Linked DNA regions of Mus musculus. The protein of the gene in region 1 interacts with the protein of each later gene in a pairwise test. Links are inferred from orthologs where the notes say so. Each region holds a gene or a part of one and is shown on either strand. Other genes may lie near its edges.

Region 1 (3,807 bases):
ACACAATAAGACTCCATTTATCCAGGTGCTATGCGACTTTCCACATACAGCGGGTGCCATTCCTCCAGACTACCTTTTGGACCTAATCCCTCGGATCCGCCCACGGGCCTTCTCCATTGCTTCCTCCCTACTGGTGAGGGACTCTGAGTAAAACTGAAGACTGGCTGAAAAAACTGGGACTGGGTAGGGCGTGTGTAGATGGGGGCTGCCTCTCTACCAGGGACTGTCCCTCCTGGGGTTGGTAGTAGGCAGGAGTGCTTTAGCAGGGCAGTGCCATCACTGTGTCCATAGGCTCATCCCAGGAGGCTACAGATCCTTGTGGCTGTGGTAAAGTACCAGACTCGTCTGAAGGAGCCCCGCCATGGTCTCTGCTCCTCCTGGCTAGCATCCCTGAATCCTGGGCAAGGTAAATCCATAGTTCTGGGGCTCGGGGTTGGGAGAGAGTATAGCCTCAAGTGCCCATCTTCCCCTGTTCCTGCTACCCCAGGAGCTCAAGCACTTAGCACCTTAGCACTGTCTTTTGACCTCCTACATGCCATTTCCCTTCTGCAGCAGGACCTGTCCGGGTGCCTCTGTGGGTACGTCCTGGGAGCCTCGTGTTCCCAAAAACACCAGACACACCCATTATCATGGTGGGGGCTGGAACTGGTGTGGCCCCCTTCCGAGCAGCCATTCAGGAACGAGTGGCTCATGGCCAAACTGGTGAGTACTGGAGCTCCAAAGCAGTGTGACCTGACCACTGAGCCTGGTCTAGCTGAATTTCTGCATCCAGACGGGGACCGCCCTATGTACCCCAGGAAACTTCTTGTTCTTTGGCTGCCGCCAGCGGGATCAGGACTTCTACTGGCAGACTGAATGGCAGAAGCTAGAGCAGAAGGGCTGGCTGACCCTGGTTACAGCCTTCTCCCGGGAGCAGGTGAGTATATTCAAGTTAGATAGGACAGGAGTTGGGATGGCTGAAACTTAGCCTCTGACACCTGCAGGAGCAGAAGGTATATGTGCAGCACCGGCTTCGAGAGCTGGGGCCACTTGTCTGGGAGCTGCTGGATGGCCAAGGTGCCTACTTCTACCTAGCAGGGTGAGCAAACTTGGGAATGTCGGGGGGTGGACCAGCCTTTAGGGAAGGGTAGTAGTAAGGGTTGGGAATCGGGATCACTGAGCTTTCTGAGGCCTGCCTTTCCAGCAATGCTAAATATTTGCCTACGGATGTTTCGGAAGCCCTTATGTCCATTTTTCAAGAAGAAGGACGACTCTCCACTGCAGATGCATCTGCCTACCTTGCTAGGCTCCAGCAGACACTGCGCTTCCAGACTGAAACCTGGGCCTGAGGAGCCACTTGCTAGCTCACACTCACATTAACAGCTGCATTGGGTAGCCTGCTGGAGTCTAGAAGGCCCATTGTTACCTCTTGCCTTCTAATCCCAGAACACTGGGTAGACCCACAGTTTCGCTTTTTTGGTCCAGCTGACCAGGAGGGCAGTCCTTGCGTACAGCCAAACTCAGTGGAACCCAGTGTCCCATACGTAGGCCCAGCCCCGGTGCAGCTAGAACTCCTGGTTTTCTCTCAGACCCCTTCATTCTGCCCCAAATCTGCATTTATAGTCCCTACCACCAAGGGCCTGCTAAGCCCTCCAAAGGACATAGAGCTGTGCGGGCTGCACTGCCCGTCTGACCCCGTGCTATTCCCATTAGTCCCATAACACCTGTGCAGCTCAGCTCAGTTGAAAAGCCACCAGGGACCAAGTCTCCTGAGCATTGGGAATGGGCAAATCTGTCTGTCTGCAGGTCCATAAACATGAGTTAACTGCCTGGGTAGCCGCTCACTTCTCTTTTATTGCTTCTAGATTTGAGAGTGGTGGTTGGGACATGGATTATCTGCATCTGCTAGTGGTGGGCAAAGAGCCCTCCAGGGCATGAGCACAGGCTTGTACTGACAGTTTAGCCAAGCTAGTCCCCTTCTCTGATGGCCACACAACTCAGCCAAGCTCATATACCCTTCTCTCATGGCCAAGCAGAGAGGGCTTAGAGAGCTATTTATTTGGAAGTCCCAGCCAAGAGCCAGCATGCACTATTCTTTCCAAAGAACTGAAAGAATGATCAGGTGGAGGGGGTGTGATTTGTGTTGGCCCGCCCATGGGCAGGGCCTCCACTGCTGGGAAGGAAACCCTGTTGGAGCAGTCAGACAGGTCCAAGGGCAGCTGGGCGCTAAGGAACCTCGGTTCTGTCTGTCAGCTTGTGGAAAACAGGGACCAGACCAACACCACTCTTAGGCCTCAGATACCAAGAGTTGACATGCTGCGGGGACCCAAGTGAAGCTTACTTCCAGTGAGGTCAGCAAGCCGAAAGGGTTATCTAGAGGTTAGTGCTCAGGTGGATGGGTGGAGGCCAAGCTCTGCCTGGCTCCTGAGGGCCACACCTTCATATCTACAACAATCCCTGCAGTCATCCTGGAGTCTCCGTCTACGCATCCTGACCTCTGTTCTAGTGGTAACCTGGGACCTAATGACACCAGCTCTGTGTCTACTAGTTCACCCGGTGCTTCTCTGGGTCCTGAGCTCTTGGACCCACTGTGCCAGCTACCAGCAGATGGAGAGGATGATCTCAGGGCCCCTCTGGGTGCCAGAACTCCAGACAGTAAACCGGAACTGGAGGCCAGAGACCCATCCGCTGCCAGGGCCCTGGAGTCAACTGTGGAAGAGCAGGAAGGTGAGGGGCAGGTTGTGGAGGAGGAGGAATGTCCCATCTGTGCTGAGCCTTATGGGCCTAGTGAGCACCACCTGACCCTGCTAAACTGTGGTCACAGCCTGTGTGTGGGCTGCCTACACCAGCTGTTAGGCATGACCCCCAGAGCTGACCTGGGCCGTGTGTGCTGTCCACTGTGTCGTCAGAAGACACCTATGCTAGAGTGGGAGATCTGTCAGCTGCAGGAGGAACTGCTTCGAGCTGATGGACCCCAGCGCCCAATGCGGACTGCATCCGTCACAGCCCTGCATCCTGGCCCTTGGCCCTGGGGTCCCTTAGAGCACCGCTACCAGCTGCGCTTCCTGGCAGGGCCTGTGGGAGGGCGAAGCTGTCTCCCCTTCCTGCCCTGCCCTCCCAGCCTAGGCACCTGGTTGTGGGCACTACGGGAACGTGGCCCCTGTGCCCGCCGCTTGTCACTGCTGAGCCTACTGGTCCTTGAACTGCTCGGGCTGGTGGTCATCTTCATGCCGCTCCTTTTACTAGGGGTGCTCTTCATGCTGCTAGACCGTTCCACCCACTAAGCAGAGCCCAGAATGCTGGCCAAGCTTTGAAGTCCATGCACGCTTGGATTCTGGTAATCAGCAAAGACTTGTTATCACCAATACCAAGACTATACATGCCTAAGAGCCTACGCCAGCCAGAGTGCTTACACACCCTTGCAGCCTAGATATTAGCTAAAGCCAAGGACACAAGGACAGCCTCTGAAGGAGCTTGGCCTGGCAGAAAGAGTTGTGAAAAGAACCCTATGTGCTTGCCATGGGCGGTCATCTCACTGGCCACAGGCAGAAGCTGGGCTATACCGCCAGCTCGTAGTCCAGCTGGTGAGAGTGGACACAAATGTGTGATTCCAACAGTGATTCTGTTTATCCTGAGATCTGTTCATTGGAGAAGGCAAGGGCTGCAGACTCTCACCTGCACCAGACAGAAGCTGGTGTGTGTCCTGAAGGCAACAGCAGCAGCCACAGTAACTACCAGGAGAGGCCTGCACTGCACAAGCCAGCCTTCAAAAGCTCCCACCCAACCTAAGCTACTCTCACCAGAGAAGGTAGCCCAGAGGAGCTGGGA
Region 2 (3,807 bases), on another chromosome or scaffold:
TGAGCTGTATAGAGGAATGAACTAAACAGGTAAACCTTAAAGAATGACACAGACCCATACACCATGGTGTAGATTAAGAAATGGAAGCATCCTGCCTGGGCATCCCAGCCCTTGAGAGGCAGAAGCAAGTGGATCTCTCTGAGCTCCGGGTTAGCATGGTTTATATAGAGTTCCAGGCCAGCATGCAAGAGGCTGAGGCAGGGTTGCCTATATAGCAAGACTGTTTTGAAAACTTTTAAAATAAATAAAAACAAGCTGATCATATAGGTGAGCATCTAGGTGTATTTGTTTATTCACTTTTATTAAAGGGAGCCTAGCTAGATGTTGAGGGTGGGAAAGCTCTTAAGTTTCAGAGCCTTGTGTCTTCTACAGGGATAAGGTTGCTCAGGGCAAGTCTTCCTATGTAAGCTACCAGTTTTTCCGCACCTTAAGGCTCAGGAGGAGGTGGGAGTGGTGGTTTGTCTGTCAAGCTGAGTCTTGCTGTTTCCCTAGTTTCCAATTGTGTACTGCTGTTGTTTTTGTAGTGCTGGGGGGAGTTTGAAAAGCGTGAAATAGTAGGTCCCTGTGTCACTCTGTCCTAACACAGAAGCTTTGCATTGGTATTTCTACTAGTGCCAGACAGGCTTGGCTTGTTTATTCATCCACTGGTGGTTATTATGGCTCTTTGCTTGTGTGTTTGTTTGTTTATACTTTTTAAAAAAGATTTATTTATCATTATATCGAAGTACACTGTAGCTGTCTCCAGACACACCAGAAGAGGGCATCAGATCTCATTACAGATGGTTGTGAGCCACCATGTGGTTGCTGAGATTTGAACTCAGGACCTTTGGAAGAACAGTCGGTGCTCTTAACTGCTGAGCCATCTCTCCAGCCCTATTTTTGGTTTTGGTTTTGGTTTTGTTGTTGTTGTTGTTGTTTTGTTTGTTTGTTTTCTGAGATAGTCTCACACTACAGTTCAGGCTCACGGGGAGCTTGGTGTTGTAACTTTGCTGACCTCTCCAGTGCTGGGGTCTCAGCCCTGCACCACCACCTTTGGCTTTATTCCAGTTTGCCAACATCAAATGAGAGGATTTCAAGTGAAAATCCAGGTTTTCTTGTGTTTAATTATTTTTGGTATGTTTGTGGTGCTGGGCATACAGCCCAGGGTCCTACACCTGCTAGGGAAGTGCTCTACCACTGGGCTCAGCTCCTTCTGCTCATGAATTTGGGTCTGCTTCCCACAGAAGTCAGCAGGACAGCTCCCCTATCCTTCTCCACTCTGCTGTCTTCCCCAGCAGCCTCACCCCTAGCCTGCTGCTTCTGTAACACTTGACTTGACATTATGTAAAAAGAGAAAAGTCTTAGGTGTATGATAGCACTGTAAGAGATTTGATGCTTCTGTTGGGTCCCCAGCACCTGTGGCCTCGCAGAGGAACTGGAGCGGGAGCAGTCCAAGGCGCAGAGCTCTCAGCCCAAGTCAGCCTGTGGAAATGTACGTACTGCACCTCCTGACACCCACCAACCCCTGACCCTAACTGCACACAGAGTAGCTGATCTTAAGGGATTTGTCACTGAGTGTTGTCATAGTGGGCCACGAGTGCAGCTGTAATGAGAAGAGGTTATCCCGAGAGGGAATCGGCATTCTCATGCCAGGCTGACAGTGGCTATCAGTTTTTATTTTGGCTGACCTTGCTGTGATCTCCTGTAGCAGAGGCTGCCTGAGCTACCTCTCCTCCGTCCCATGGGCTTCCACATAACTCAGGCAGGCCATAAACCTGCCTCAGCCTCCCAAGTACGTCAGTACAGCTGTGTTACCAACTCTCGTGGCTGGCGCCCGTACTGACTGACGTTTCATAGAACAAGAGACCCGTGGGTGTACGCAGGTGCCCTTTCCCTTTGGCCCTTAGCCTCTCTGTGTGACTGTTGTTTCTCCACAGTGCTACCTGGGTGACGCTTTCCGCTGTGCCAACTGCCCCTACCTCGGGATGCCAGCCTTCAAGCCTGGCGAGCAGGTGCTCCTGAGCAATAGCAATCTCCAGGATGCCTAGGAGGGACCTCAAGCCCACACACCTCCTCCTCCAGCAACTCCTGTCCTCAGCTCCTCCCACGGCCTCCTCCCACCTCTGGATTCAGGCGCTCTGAAAACACTCACAGGGAGAGGCTTGCAGCCGAGCGAGCGAGCGAAGCTGCTGTGGGCAGTGGGGTGGGGTGCTGCTGTGTCTTGAAAGACCAAGGATTGAGGGGACCTGTCTCTTAGTGTTAGGGGAAGAGGGTGGATGCGCCTAAGGAACTCTGCTCCTGGTGTTACAGTGCTGTCCCTCTCCACCCTTGAGTATTTATGCTGAGTAAGCTCCAGGCTCCGCTCAGTGATGCTGCCACCTGCTGGACTTCCTCAGGATGTAGTTCTTGGAGCCATGGGTTAGCTGTCAAAGGGCCTCAGGGGCACCAAAGAAGTCACTCCCCCAGTTGTGATCCATCTTGTGTCCCTCTGCCTTTCTCACCTCACCCCGTTTTACTGTAGTGTTGTATCTGTGTCCTGTTGTCATTTCTGTTAAATGGTATTAAACTTTTGTGTTTTTATGTCTCCCTTTTACTGTGAGTGTGTCTTTGTGTCTGTGTGTGGTAGTGAAGGGTTGTCTGTCACCCATCCACATTCAGCTTGGACTATGAAAATTGTTTTTGAAGAAGTCATCGTCACACAGGAGTGGGGCCAGAACTGCCCACTAGCTAGGACTAGGATCTGTCTTCACCTCCTGTAGGAGCCAGGTGGAGAATGCAGGTTAGGGCAGGCTGGACCAGCAGCAGGAAGTATCAGAGCAGGAGGCCCTCTTCAGTCTCCCTCCTGCCTCTGCCCACATCCCTGTTATCCATCATGCCTGCTGTTACCTGTCCTTGTTACTTGATCTGCTTAGCTAGCTTCTGCTGCTATGGGTGTGGTGAAAAGCCCTTTGAGAAGCAGAATTTCTGTTGACCCCAGTGACCCTTGCCTTGTGTTACCTCCCCTCCAATTACAGCAAACCCTGAAAACCTCTGGTGTTTCTCTTCTGAGTGGAAGAGGCTTTGCTAAGTGAAAGGGTTTTACAGATGGACCCACAGTCCCTGCTGATTAAAGTTAATTAGACGGGAGATTATCCTTGGCCCATTCTCTTGATCCTTTAAAAGAATTAGAAAACAAAGGCTTTGTTTTGCTGCCTGTGCACAAGCTAGTGGTGAAGTTTTAGGAGGTGTGTACCTCTTAGCCCTACTAAGAAAGTGGGAGCCAGGCAGTGGTGGTGTATGCCTTTAACCCCAGCACTTGGCAGCCAGAGGCAGCCGGATTTCTGAGTTCAAGGCTAGCCTAGTCTACAGAGTGAGTTCCAGGACAGCCAGGGCTACACAGAGAAACCCTGTTTTGGGGGGAAAAAAAGGGTGGTGGTGGGGTGGTGGTGGTTACAGCCCCACAGCAAGGAGCTTGGTTCTGTCATCACTGTGCCAGCTTGAAAGAGGACTCGCTTTCAAATGAGAACACAGCCTGTGCCTGAATTAATGGCTGGGATCCATGGATGGAACACTTGGGTATGCACAAAGCCTTGTTTTTGATTCCTAGTACCAAAACCAAAAAAGGTTTTCTCAGGCCAGAGCAATTGACAGAAAAGCCAAGATAATAAGTGGGGGTGTGGCTGACTGATTTGTCACACAGCAACAAAAACTCAGCCCCAGATGGGTTTAGGTTTAGCTGACCAACTGGCCCAGTCACAGACCTGTTGTCGGCCTCTACTGCAGTTACCTAGGTGAGGGACAAACACTTGAGCCTCTAGGAGGAGGAGATGCTCCTGGACCAGAGCTTCC

Evidence for each region.
Region 2: the proteins of Ndor1 (region 1) and Ciapin1 interact in binary tests that used the Homo sapiens proteins (3 or more experiments, as listed by UniProt). The two-hybrid records come from large-scale screens. The link is inferred for Mus musculus from reciprocal best matches to the Homo sapiens genes NDOR1 and CIAPIN1.

Annotation. Positions count from the first base shown.
Region 1 is NC_000068.7:25,245,231-25,249,037, reverse strand, and holds part of Ndor1 (NADPH-dependent diflavin oxidoreductase 1), read left to right. Parts: intron 1-25; coding exon 26-133; intron 134-291; coding exon 292-406; intron 407-552; coding exon 553-702; intron 703-797; coding exon 798-916; exon of another isoform or gene 917-983; coding exon 984-1,078; intron 1,079-1,183; coding exon 1,184-1,328; 3' UTR 1,329-2,232; coding exon of another isoform or gene 2,233-2,329; 3' UTR 2,330-2,442; coding exon of another isoform or gene 2,443-2,781; 3' UTR 2,782-2,803; coding exon of another isoform or gene 2,804-2,854; 3' UTR 2,855-2,888; coding exon of another isoform or gene 2,889-3,263; 3' UTR 3,264-3,807. UniProt on the Homo sapiens protein: NADPH-dependent reductase which is a central component of the cytosolic iron-sulfur (Fe-S) protein assembly (CIA) machinery.
Region 2 is NC_000074.6:94,821,317-94,825,123, reverse strand, and holds part of Ciapin1 (anamorsin), read left to right. Parts: intron 1-1,392; coding exon 1,393-1,471; intron 1,472-1,916; coding exon 1,917-2,027; 3' UTR 2,028-3,807. UniProt on the Homo sapiens protein: Component of the cytosolic iron-sulfur (Fe-S) protein assembly (CIA) machinery required for the maturation of extramitochondrial Fe-S proteins.